3 linked regions of the Sus scrofa genome follow. The protein of the gene in region 3 interacts with the protein of the main gene of each other region in a pairwise test. Links are inferred from orthologs where the notes say so. Each region holds a gene or a part of one and is shown on either strand. Other genes may lie near its edges.

What was found.
Region 1: the proteins of ARR3 (region 3) and ZNF496 interact in binary tests that used the Homo sapiens proteins (3 or more experiments, as listed by UniProt). The two-hybrid records come from large-scale screens. The link is inferred for Sus scrofa from reciprocal best matches to the Homo sapiens genes ARR3 and ZNF496.
Region 2: the proteins of ARR3 (region 3) and GNMT interact in a two-hybrid assay, tested with the Homo sapiens proteins (2 studies listed by BioGRID and IntAct). The two-hybrid records come from large-scale screens. The link is inferred for Sus scrofa from reciprocal best matches to the Homo sapiens genes ARR3 and GNMT.

The regions. Positions count from the first base shown.
Region 1 is NC_010444.4:57,052,250-57,056,216, forward strand, and holds the start of ZNF496 (zinc finger protein 496), read left to right. Parts: upstream 1-1,167; 5' UTR 1,168-1,498; intron 1,499-1,686; 5' UTR 1,687-1,915; intron 1,916-3,800; 5' UTR 3,801-3,967. UniProt on the Homo sapiens protein: DNA-binding transcription factor that can both act as an activator and a repressor.
Region 2 is NC_010449.5:38,036,936-38,041,158, reverse strand, and holds the start of GNMT (glycine N-methyltransferase), read right to left. Parts: upstream 2,801-4,223; 5' UTR 2,758-2,800; coding exon 2,552-2,757; intron 1,584-2,551; coding exon 1,456-1,583; intron 1,308-1,455; exon of another isoform or gene 1,016-1,307; coding exon 899-1,015; exon of another isoform or gene 760-898; coding exon 617-759; intron 518-616; coding exon 396-517; intron 318-395; coding exon 146-317; 3' UTR 1-145. UniProt on the Homo sapiens protein: Catalyzes the methylation of glycine by using S-adenosylmethionine (AdoMet) to form N-methylglycine (sarcosine) with the concomitant production of S-adenosylhomocysteine (AdoHcy), a reaction regulated by the binding of 5-methyltetrahydrofolate.
Region 3 is NC_010461.5:56,308,286-56,311,484, forward strand, and holds the end of ARR3 (arrestin-C), read left to right. Parts: intron 1-598; coding exon 599-682; intron 683-915; coding exon of another isoform or gene 916-922; exon of another isoform or gene 923-947; coding exon 948-971; intron 972-1,142; coding exon 1,143-1,195; intron 1,196-1,481; coding exon 1,482-1,491; intron 1,492-2,056; coding exon 2,057-2,156; 3' UTR 2,157-2,222; downstream 2,223-3,199. UniProt on the Homo sapiens protein: May play a role in an as yet undefined retina-specific signal transduction. Could bind to photoactivated-phosphorylated red/green opsins.

The DNA.
Region 1 (3,967 bases), on a different chromosome or scaffold from region 3:
CCAAGCATATGACTTATGGTGGCTCCCAGTAACTCTGATACTCAGAAGTGATTATTCATAATTTAGAGGAAGAAACAAAAGGTTCCCAACTCCATGGAATAAGGAAAGCAACAGCGCAAAGGAATCCAGTTCCTCAGTCGATCCACCTCTTTCTCACCTGCTCAGCCAGGCCTCTTTCTCTCTTTCGTGGAACTCATATTGCCCTGCTTGATCTGAGGGAAATCAAGATCAGAAGTGTATCCCTGTAAATGGTAAATTTCTTTGCCTTCTTTCCTGGGAGAGTCTAACTTCAGTGCTGGGCACATGAAGAAAGAGAAGGGTTGGTGGGAGACCCCAATACATTTTCTCCCAAGCTCCTGAACCTGGAAGATTAAGAATTAGCCCGGGAAGATCCCTCTGAGCCTTCAAGCAATGTTCAGTCTAGAATAGTGTGGCAGGTAGCCCTGTCTGGGGGTCTGGAGGCCCTAATTCTTCTCGCCCCCCTGACACTTGACTTCAAGCCAAAGTTGCTTAACTCATCCCTCTGTGAACAGCTAACTACACCCTACACTTAAGGGAGCAATAAGCACCCCGACCACTAACGGGGGACCCTCTGTTCACTCCTCAGGGTTGTCCTGATGCTCAGAAGGACGAATGACGCACAGCTGGGAAAGTGCAAATCCCTCCAAAGCCCAGGCTGACACCTTGAGCATCTGATGTTGGACTAAGCGGGGCGGCAAGACTTCCCTTCTCCTACCTTCCTCGCCCATTCAGCGGCCGCGGGCCGGACGCAGAGGAGGGGTTTCGGCTGGAAGAGGGTTGGGCCTGCCGGAGGGGGGGGGGGGCGTCACACGGGGATTCTGAAATGGAGCGTTCCACGATGCACCACAGCCTTTTCTCCGCCCCCCACTCCCAATTCCAGCTTTCAGCCTTGGCTCCAGGATCGACCCTTCTGGGCGTCCACAAACCCTTAGGGGAGTCCGAGACAGGAGGACAGCGAAGAGATAAGCCTCCAGACCGACCTTCCCAAACCGGTGGCGGCCCACAGCAGGACGCACCAGCGTGAGCCTCCTGCCAACCTTGTCCTCAGCCTCTCCACTTGGCCACCCGCTCGCGGGCGCGATTCCCGCCGCGCCTTCGACGCCCCTCCCTCCCGCCCCGCCTCGGCGCGCGTCCCCCGCGCGAGCCCGCGGGGAAGCTGGGCAGCCGTGGCTTGGCGGACCCACAAAGCCCCCGGCCAGGAGCCGAGCCCCGGGCGCGCGCGGAGCGGGGCGTGGCAGGGCGGGGCGCGCAAGCCGGGCCGGGCCGGGGGTGTCGGATGTCACCCCCAGCGCACACCTCGGCCCGGGGACGGAGGAGCGAACCACTGAGATGCGGAGACCTCCCCGGTCCTAGAGCGGAGCAGGAAGTGTCCCAGGGGAGGGAGCCGGAGGGCTTCGGCCTTTCCTTTTCTCCGCGTCCGGCGGGCTCCAGAGGCAGCCAGGCCTGCACGGCGCGCCAACTGGGACGCGGCGCGGCGGTGAGTGCGGCCCGGGCGGCCGAGGCTTCTGCGGCCCGCGCGCCCGCTCGGCGCCTTCCCGCGCGCCCGGCTCCGCGCTCCCAGGTCCCTTGGCTCCCAGCCCCGCGCGCTCCGGCCTCCCTCCCTTCCCCGAGCCGAGAGGTGAATCTTCGGGCAGGGGCATAGACAACACAAATGTTGTTTTTCAGGCGTCTCCATTTGCTCCTACTTCTTCCCTCCTAAGCGGAGCCCTGGTTTTCTGGATGAGCAGGAGACGGGGTCTCGGCTAGCCAGGAACAGTCTGGCCCTTGCAGAGAACCCGCCTCAGGAAGGACACCCGGGAGACCGCGCTGGAAGGATGAGGAGCTGCTGCCTAAGTCTTCCGCCGCAGCAGGAGGGATTTGAGTTAGACGCTGGGAAGGAGTTCCAGGCTGTGAGGTGAGGAGCCGGGAGCTGGTTAAACTGGAGGCGTGCATGGGTGTGGATGTGTAGGGAGGGAAGAGGGAGAGGGATCTGGAGCTAGGAAAAGCTTGCCCCTTTCCCTGGCACAAAATGCCCATCCCCTTCTCTTTCTGCTAATCCAACTCTGTCCTCCTTATAGAGCTGCTTTAAGTGCGCCCCGCCCCCTACGGGATCCTCCAGGGACCTACGTTAGTTCATTCATCAAGCTTCATTCCTGAGCCTCCTATGTGCTAGATGCCAGGGCGACAAAGAGGAACATGGCTTTCTAGTTAGGGACGATGGGCAGAGCTAGGTGTTTTAGAGTGGACACTGAGGACTTAGGGTGGGGGCACGGGTCCCCTAGCCCTGAGAAATCTAGGGCCCTGTAGGTGTGTGATGGCAGGGAAGGTGGAGTGGATAGGGCTGGGATTGGGTTTCAGATGTAGGAGCAAACACTGGAGGAAATCCATTGGTATTGGTGGGGCAAGTTGTAAGGTGTCCAACCAGATACCCTCAGAGCCCTTTCATACCAGTGTGCATTTATCTTTATGTTGGAGAGCAGAGGTCCAGAGGTTTGGGTTTTTCTGACTGCCATTTAGTGGCATTGTTGCTCTTCTAGCCTCACCTGTCTTCCTGTGAAATGGGAAAGAAGCCTCCATTTTGCACGGAACCCTTGGGGGATGGGTGGGGGCATTGAGCTGTTGGAGGTTAAGGGGCTGGCTTGCTGGGGAGCCTTATAAACCAGATGTGGAGAGTAAGTGACCCTGTCCAAGGATTTCAGAGGCCCGATGGTTGGGGAAGAGTGACCCCATTTGCCCTTCATCTTTTCTGGGACCCATAGTCTGGAATAGTGGCTGCTACTCTATGTTGTTGCTCTATATGTATTCACTGGGGAGGTAGAGGGGCCCCTGAAGTCGTGGAGGCTGTGCTCTGAGCACCTCACCTGTGTCCTGCCTAGGAAAGGCTGTGAGTTGTGCATGGTTTTTCTTATTGTAGATTGAAGATGACAAGAGAAGGCAAAGTGGACATCTTTAAGTACTAGTGTATATTGGAGTTCCCATTGTGGTTCAGTGGTTAATGAATCTGACTAGGAACCATGAGGTTGTGGGTTCGATTTCTGGCCTCGCTCAGTGGGTTAAGGATCCGGCGTTGCGGTGAGCTGTGGTGTAGGTCACAGATGCAGCTCGGATCCTGAGTTGCTGTGGCTGTGGTGTAGGCTGGCAGCTGTAGGTCCGATTAGACCCCTAGCCTGGGAACCTCCATATGCCACGGGTTCGGCTCTAGAAAAAGGCAAAAAGACAAAAATAGATAAATAAATAAATAAAAAATACTAGTGTGTATTTAAATGTTATTGTGTACCATTCAGACTAGTGAGTTGTGCAGAGGCTCCTCAGAGAGTACTGACATTTTTTTTAGTCTTTTTAGGGTAGCACTCGTGGCATATGGAAGTTCCCAGGATAGGGGTCTAATTGAAGCTGTAGCTGCCTGCCTACGCCAGATCCACAGCAACACCAGATCCGAGCGACGTCTGAGCGAGGCCGGGGATCGAACCTGCAACCTCACAGTTCTTAGTCGGATTCATTAACCACTGAGCCATGATGGAGACTCCAAGAGTACTGATATTTTTAAATGCATAGTGTTATTTTCTTCTAGTAAACTCAGGGTGTAGCCACCTCTTAAGATTCCCCATCTCTTGTCTGGGTATCTTCTCTGCTATCTGCTTCATTTTCTGCCTATCAGTGCTTACTCCACTGAGCAAGGCCAATTCTTGCTCTGTGTTGTTCCAGCACTGCTAGTTCACTCTAACTACTGCAGGATGAATTTCTCATCTGGATTCACTTTTGAAGGCTTTTCCTGTGCATGTCTGTCTTTGTCTTTCCAGCTCATTTTGTAAAGGTCTCAAGGACAAGGACGGTGACTTCGGCTCCAAAGCCTCAAGGTAGCGGCCTTCTCATCTTGTCCATATCAGGTCCTTTCCAGGAGGACCTGGCCACTGAAGGTACCACACAGTGTTAATTACATCTCTGTCCTGCATGTGGCCCCATTGGT
Region 2 (4,223 bases), on a different chromosome or scaffold from region 3:
TCCCTGCCCCCAGCTGCAGCCCACCCCTTCCCACACCCCCGGATCTGCACTGGGGGTTGGGCTCCGTGTGGGGCTTCTGGTCCCCTCCTCCACAGACGGAGCCTGGCAGCGCCTGGGCAGAGGGCAGTGGGAGCTGAGGCCTCACTCAGTCCGTCTTCCTGAGCACGTGGATGAAATAGCAGGGAATGTAGGCCTGGCCCGGCTTGTAAGGCTTGAAATCTCCTAGGACACTGTGCTGGCACTTGCCCCCGAAGGCTGTTTGTAGCAGCTCCGTAAAGGATGCCAGACAGTGAGGGTAGTAGGAGAGCCGGAACTTACTGCAACAGAGCCCCCGACCAACCATCAGGACTGGTGTGTCAGCGCCCCCTGCCCAAGCCCCTGCCTCGCCAGTGTACCTCAAGCCAGGAGAACCTCTGTGGCCAGTCCCCGGCACCTGCACCGTGTAATCGAGGGTCACCATGTGAGCCTTGTTGTTCACTGTCAGCACAGATGTCGTGATGTCCTTGATCAGGTCACTCTGCAGGTGGGAGTGCCAGCTGTGTTAGCTTCTGCAACTCTGGTGGGGCCCAGAGAGCCCACCTCCCACTCTGGGCCCTCCCTCCCTCAGGGGCCCCACCTTATAGTAGATGTTCTTTCCTGGGGGTGCACAGCCTGTGCTGAGGATGTGGTCGTAGTTTCGATGATCAATGACCAGCAAGCCCCCTGACCGCACCATGCTTGTGATGTTTTTCAGGGCCAGCCGGTGCTCACTCTGGTCCCCTGAACTCCAGGAAGGGTAGAGAGGCTGCGTCTGCTCAGGGCCCGGGCACCAGTCTCCCTCCCATCTTTCTCCTTCCCCCTGCGTCTGGAAAGGGTATGGTTCAAAGCAGGGTCTACGCCCAAGGCCACACCCTCTCACCTCTGCAGTCTGGCAAGTGGGCAAAACTGTTTCCAAGGCAGATGACAGCATCGAAGCCACCCATTGGTGACTTGGGCACATCTTTGTCTAGAGTCATCCAGTTGGCTTCTTCAATGACTGGGGGCCAGGAAAGGGAAGAGGGAACAGGCTGGTACCACAGTACAAGCAGCACCCGTGTCCACCAAGTGCAGTCTTGCCTCTCTTTCCCCTTCTAGATACACACAGGGCCTCCCCAGGGGAGGGGATCCCGAGGGAGGGGATCATCATGGACATGGAGGGTGAAGGAGAAGAGGGGTCAGGGGAATAGGAAGCTGTGGTGGGGAAGGAGGGCCCTGTGCTTATGGGTTTCTTTTGGGGGAGAAGGATAAGATACTATAAAGGTAATTAAAACTAGCATAGTCAATACCTCGTTCTTGTGCCTAAGCCTCCCTTTTTAGGGATTTTACTGTCCCCCTTGAGGAAAACAAAACCCCCCACCACAGGAGCTAAAGGAGCCAGAGCAGAGAGAACAGTGTCCTTGGTGGCTGGGCCGAGGGGACCTGGCTGGAGCTGCCTACCCCACTTGTCGAAAGCAGGCTCATGCCGCCGGTTCCAGCGCTCTTTAAGTGCATACTTGAGCATCTTGTCACTGGCATCCACACTTGTCACACTGAAGCCTTCTTCCACTAGCATGATGGAGTCCACCCTGGGCAGGACCAGAATCCCAACAGGCAGAGAGGGGTGGTCAGGGAAGGCAAGGAGGAGGCCCTGTGCCGGACACTTCTGTCTCCTCAGGTCCTCAGAGTCCATTTTTCTGCCTGTCCCCAGGCTCTCTCCACTGACCTCAGTGACCTGGCATATCTGATTCTCATCATCAGGTAGCACCCTTTTTGTGTTTTAGCACCTATTCCAAGTCAGGCATTCTACAAATGCACATGAATCCTCATTGCAGTCCGGTAAGGTAGATGGTCTTATCCCCATTCGAGAGATGGGGCAAGCTGAGGCTTCTGGATGTTAAGTAACTTGAGCACAGGAGGCAGTGTAACATGGGGGTTTAGAGCACAGGCCAGACCCTAACCCATCTGGGTTTGCATCTCCTCTCCACCTTTATCTCTCTGAGGCCAAATTCCTACAACGGTAAACAGCTATCACTACCCACCTCATGGGGTTTTGTGAGGATTTTAAAACCTCATGTATCAAAAGCACCTGGTACAGTGCTTTGGCAGGGGCACATGTTAAACAAGCGTTAACTGTTAACGCTGCCGGAGGCCATCATACCGGGGAATGACCCTGGAATGACCCTGGAGCCGGGTTCCAAGCCCCAAAGCCTGGGTCCTTGCGCCGCCCCAGCGAGATCGCCTTCTCCACCCACAGTGCCCACACCCTCGCTCTCACCCTGGGTCTCCTCGGCCCCCTCCTGCCGTCGGCCTCGCCCTGCTCCTCGTTCTGCCTGGGTAAACACTCATTCCTGGCCCCTGGCGTCGCGCCCCTGCCTGGCTCTAGGTCGGCAGCGGCGGAGGAGGCTGCCCGACGTGCCCCGCTGTGGTACTGCGGTCGGGCGACCCCGGCCGGAGCAGACCCCGTCCCCCGTCGCCTGTGTCCTCCCGGCTCCTCTTTCCCCCTGGCCCCCGGATGCCTGCTCATCCCAGGTCCCTGGCTTCCGTCCGGGCTCACCCGGTACCACAGGCCACGTCGAGGACTCGCTGGCAGCCGTGCTGTCGCAGCAGTCCGAGCAGCCAAGCCTTGTACTCAGCCGTGCGGCTGCGGGTGTCTCCGATGTACAGCTGCCACACGCGCGCCGCCTCTCCGTCCGCGTACTGGTCCGGGAGCCCTTCAGCCGCCACCCCCAGGGAGCGGGTCCGGTACACGCTGTCCACCATCCTGCGAGGCGCCTGGCTCCGCAGCCACCCGCTCTGCATTTATAATACGCCCCTGCCGGCGGCCCCACCTGCCCAATGGGAGGTGAGAGCGGGGACACGCCCCTGCTGGGCCCTGGGCCCGCAGCCGCGGCTGCCCGGGTAGGCACGCTGGGAGGGCGCTGCCTGGCAATCCTAGACCAGCCCTTCCCGCCTGCCTGAGGATCCTGCCCTGTGGATGATCCCTCGGCGCAAAAGGACCTTCCCAACCCCTGCCCACTTAAGCCAGGTCCCAGGGGAACCTAGGAGGGGTCAGAAGGGGGAGCTGGGGAGTTCCCGTCGTGGCGCAGTGGTTAATGAATCCGACTAGGAACCATGAGGTTGCGGGTTAGGTCCCTGCCCTTGCTCAGTGGGTTGAAGATCCGGCGTTGCCGTGAGCTGTGGTGTAGGTTGCAGACACGGCTTGGATCCCGCGTGGCTGTGGCTCTGGCGTAGGCCTGTGGCTACAGCTCTGATTCGACCCCTAGCCTGGGAACCTCCATAAGCCGCGGGAGCGGCCCAAGAAATAGCAAAAAGACAAAAACAAAAACAAAAACAAAAAACAGAAGCGGGAGCTGGAAAGAAACTTCACAGTCCACAATGAGTGCCCAGGGCAAAACCGTCCCTACTGGGGGGGGAGGTGGGGAGGTAGGGTGGGGGTTATTAGCATATATAAAGAAGGGCTGCCCCGCCCAAAGAGGGCCTGGTCAGCCAGCGAAGGGAGGGATGGGAGTATCTGGGGATGATGCTGGCTTGGCCATCCAAGTCTAGGAGCAGTTCTGGCCCAAGGGGTCATCCCACCCATCTGGGGGCAGGTGCTCCTCTGTCCTGTAGCTGATGCATCAAGCTTTTCCCTGAGCCACTTGAGATGGAGTCTGATTCCAGTTCCTCTCTAACCAAGCACCCCACTAATGGCTGCTTTCCACAGAGGTGCCCACAGACTGGGCAGTCCAGAGTGAGGGGTGGAAGTGCTTGCTCTTGCTCTTATATCGCTCATTATCACCTCATAAATTGGTCATTTGGTTTGGTTAGTGTCAGCCACCCTCCTCCCCAAAACAGGTCTCTTCCTGGACAAGACCCTGGACTGAGATTCAGGAAGGTGGTGCCACCCAGGGAAGCCCAAGACAGCAAGAACAGCCTTCCTCACCTATCTTTTGGCTTCAGAAAGTGCCGAGGTATGGAATTTAGAACAAAGGAACCTCCCATCCGCTGCCCCTTTTACCATCAATAGAATCCTGGAGCTGGGGAAACCCCAAAGATAGGTCATCATTCTTATCTTTCTATTTTTTAGCACCTAGGCCCCTCAGATGGGTCAGCCCATGCCCCAGTAGTGGAGTCTTGTGCTCACACTGGCCCTACAGACAGGTCTTTGGCAGCAGGCTGAGAAAGACACTGTTGTGGGGAGTTTACAGTATGATTTTTTTTTTTTTTTTAGGTTGCTGGCATGAGGA
Region 3 (3,199 bases):
CACTGCTTTCAGTCAATTTACAGCCTAGATGGGGAACAAAGGAATGTAAATGCAATCTAACAGTTAAGTGCTAGTACATGTGGTTCAGATTATAAACCCAATAGAAGTTAAAAGGAGCCAGCATAGCTGGAGAGGGATTCCTGGAACAGATAGAATGAGCTAGATCTTGAAGAATGTGTTGGATCTGGATAGCAATAGAGGAAGAAAGGAACATTCCAGGTTGGGAGCACAGCCTGGGCAAAGGCTGGAAGGTAGAAATCCGTGGGGCATGCTCTGAGCATGGAGAGAAGATAGGTTGGCTTAGGTTGCACCCTAGGTGTTAGAGGGTTCAGGTAGGAAGCTTAGAGAGGCAAGGTGGGGCTCAATGGCTAAGGGTTGTGAAAGCCAAGGAGTGTAGTAGTTATATTCAGAGAGGGAGGCTCCTGGGCAGAGGGTGGCATGGTACAACTGGATTTGAGGAACAGTAATGCGGTCCCAAGGAACAGGAGATCAGAGCCTGGAAGATCTCCTAGATGACAAAAGGTGCACAAGAAAGGACTGGGGGGACTCAATGAATCACCCACCCCCACAAACATACAACAAATACTACCACTTCCAGTCTTCGGCCAGGAATGGATAAGGAGCTGCTGGGGATCTTGGTGTCCTACAAAGTCAGAGTCAACCTGATGGTGTCCTGTGGCGGGTGAGCAAGGGTGCAGGGTCTGTCTGGGCAGGGGCTGGGGAGCCCCTTCTGTTTTCCTCCCAGTTGGCCTGACCCAATCAATCTGATACCCACCGCTTCTCCTGGACCAGTTGCCCCAAACTGTAAGCTTCATGAACAAGCCACCTTCCCTTCCAGAAACCCATTCTGTGGCTGAGTTGGCTTTACAATCCCTTATCCCCCAGTAAAATTAGGCTGCTACTTTCCATTTCCAGCTGCTAATTTTAGGGTGTCATTCTATCCTCAGCATCCTAGGCGACCTGACAGCCAGGTAAGAGATGGTGGGGAGAGGGGACCAGGGCTAGAAGGGGAGGATGAGATCAAGAGACCCAAAGCGTGACGAGGGAGAATCTAAGGGCATCCCAGCACCAGAAAATTGGGGGAGAGGATCAGGGAGCAGACTCGGAGGGAGATCTGTAACTCCACATTGGGATCCTTGCAGTGATGTCGGCGTGGAGCTGCCCCTGATCCTAATGCACCCAAAGCCATCAAATGGTGAGTGACAAGGTGGGACTTACATGGGCAGTGATCCCGAGGGTTGGGGCCTAAGCAGTGCTGATCTCATGAATCGGAAACTGGCAGTTTAGATAGAGATTGAATAGTAATAGGTAGGTTGGGTGACTAGATTTCAGGGTGCATGTGTGGGTGTGTGTGTTGTGTTTATGGGAGAGAGAGGGTTTAAAAGGGGGAGGGAAGAATAACAAGACATTTCCTCAGGAAACCCAAGAGCCCCTTATCAGCTTCTGCTCCGTATTTCCTTCCCTCTCCATGCTTGCTGCAGAGGCTGCTAGGTAAGAAAATGTGAGGCCTGGAAACTCCGCCCCCTTTCCCCACTGCTACTCTCCATTCTATGAGGATGGAAATGAACAAAGCTCCCCTGGAGTGTTGCTTTCAATAGGTGTACAGTGGAAACATATGGTTTAGCTTCGTGTCATAGTTCAGTGCTTTTCAACACCCTCCTTTTCCTTTCTGCATCCCCCGCCTTCCACCTCCTGCTCTTCTCCCAATCGTCCTTCCCCCTCAGCCCTTCCATTTTTCTTTTTCCTCCTGCACCCCCCACCTCCTCGCATTTACTTCACTTGCCTTTCATTCTTCCATCCTTTCCCTCCTTCCCACACTCCATTCTTATTTCCCCTCCAGCCCTCAAGGGGGACTTTTGTGTTGGGAGACTGGGGAGGGAGTGAGGGAAATAAGCCAGTGTGGTCCATGTGGGGTGGGGCAGCTGAGAAGGGGTGAGGATCTGAGCTGGGAAGCAGGGAAGGGATCACTTCCCTGGGATCAGGAAATGGGAGTGGATGTGGAAGGCGCTCAGACAATTGTTCCTAACCCTCTATTCCCCTTTGCTGCTTCTACCAGCTCTGAGGACATAGTCATCGAGGAGTTTGCTCGGCAGGAGCCCGGTGGCAGAGAAGAGAGCCAGGAGGCTTTGGCGGCTGAGGGGGATGAGGGCAGCTGAGCACCTAGCTTTGTGCCTCTGTGTGGGAGCCCCACTGTAACATTCTAATAAATCAGCTTGTCCAGATGTGCCTGCTGATCTCTTTGGTATTTCTTCCTCCTGGAGGGTAATGGAACTACCTAGAATGAACCACTGCCAACCACCTGCCCCATCAGTGATTAGATTTCCTGTAGCATGCATTTTTCTTCTAAATGATCCCTGACTTCCCTCTGGCAAAGGCCACCCGCCCTCTGTGGCTCCTTTAGCTTTTCTTCCAAGCCCTGGCCATCCCTGCCCCAATGCCCCCATCCAACAATCCCACCCCTGCAATCACCCAAGGCCCCAGCTGCCCCACCTACATGAGAGCCACAGGAGCCGTGGGGAGGGCCCAGGCCTGGGGGCGAGGCTGACAGGTCGACAGAGAGTGCCGTGTGACTTCATGCAGCAAATGCCACCCACCTGCTGCAATACCGTGCACCATGAGACCCACCGCCAAGGCTTCAGCCTGGAAACCATCACACCCAAATACCAGTCCTGAGCAAATCCAAACCATGCAATCCTTAGGGAGCAGAGCGGTGGGGGCCCAGGTTGGGCTTTGAGGATAGGGAGGTGTGATGGTGTGGAATGGAGTGGGAGATTCTCTGGGGAATCAACTTCCTCCTGCCCAGGGTAATGCTTATCCTACTTATCATCACCTGCTTTATGTGCGACAACTTCAAAGGCACCTGCTGGGTGAGCCCACCACTAAGGCATCAGAGTACATTTTTGCCCCCTTTTTTGGTTGACTTACCTGGGGATTCTTCTCAAAGTTATCTATTGTAAGTGTTGAGAAGCTGAGCCAGGATACTTTTCAAGGGCTGTTCTCCACTTCTGGTTCTAAGACTGCCTGGTATTGGGGGTAGAGGAGGGGTAGAGAGTAAGTATCTGACTCTCTTTTGCAGCCAGCCTTTGGAATTGACCTACTAAGATCATGTGCTTGTACTTGGAGGACTAGTGAGTGTTCACTGTCATATCTCATACTAACCCTGTACCTCAATCACTTAGGCCTACTCATCACTAAGGGT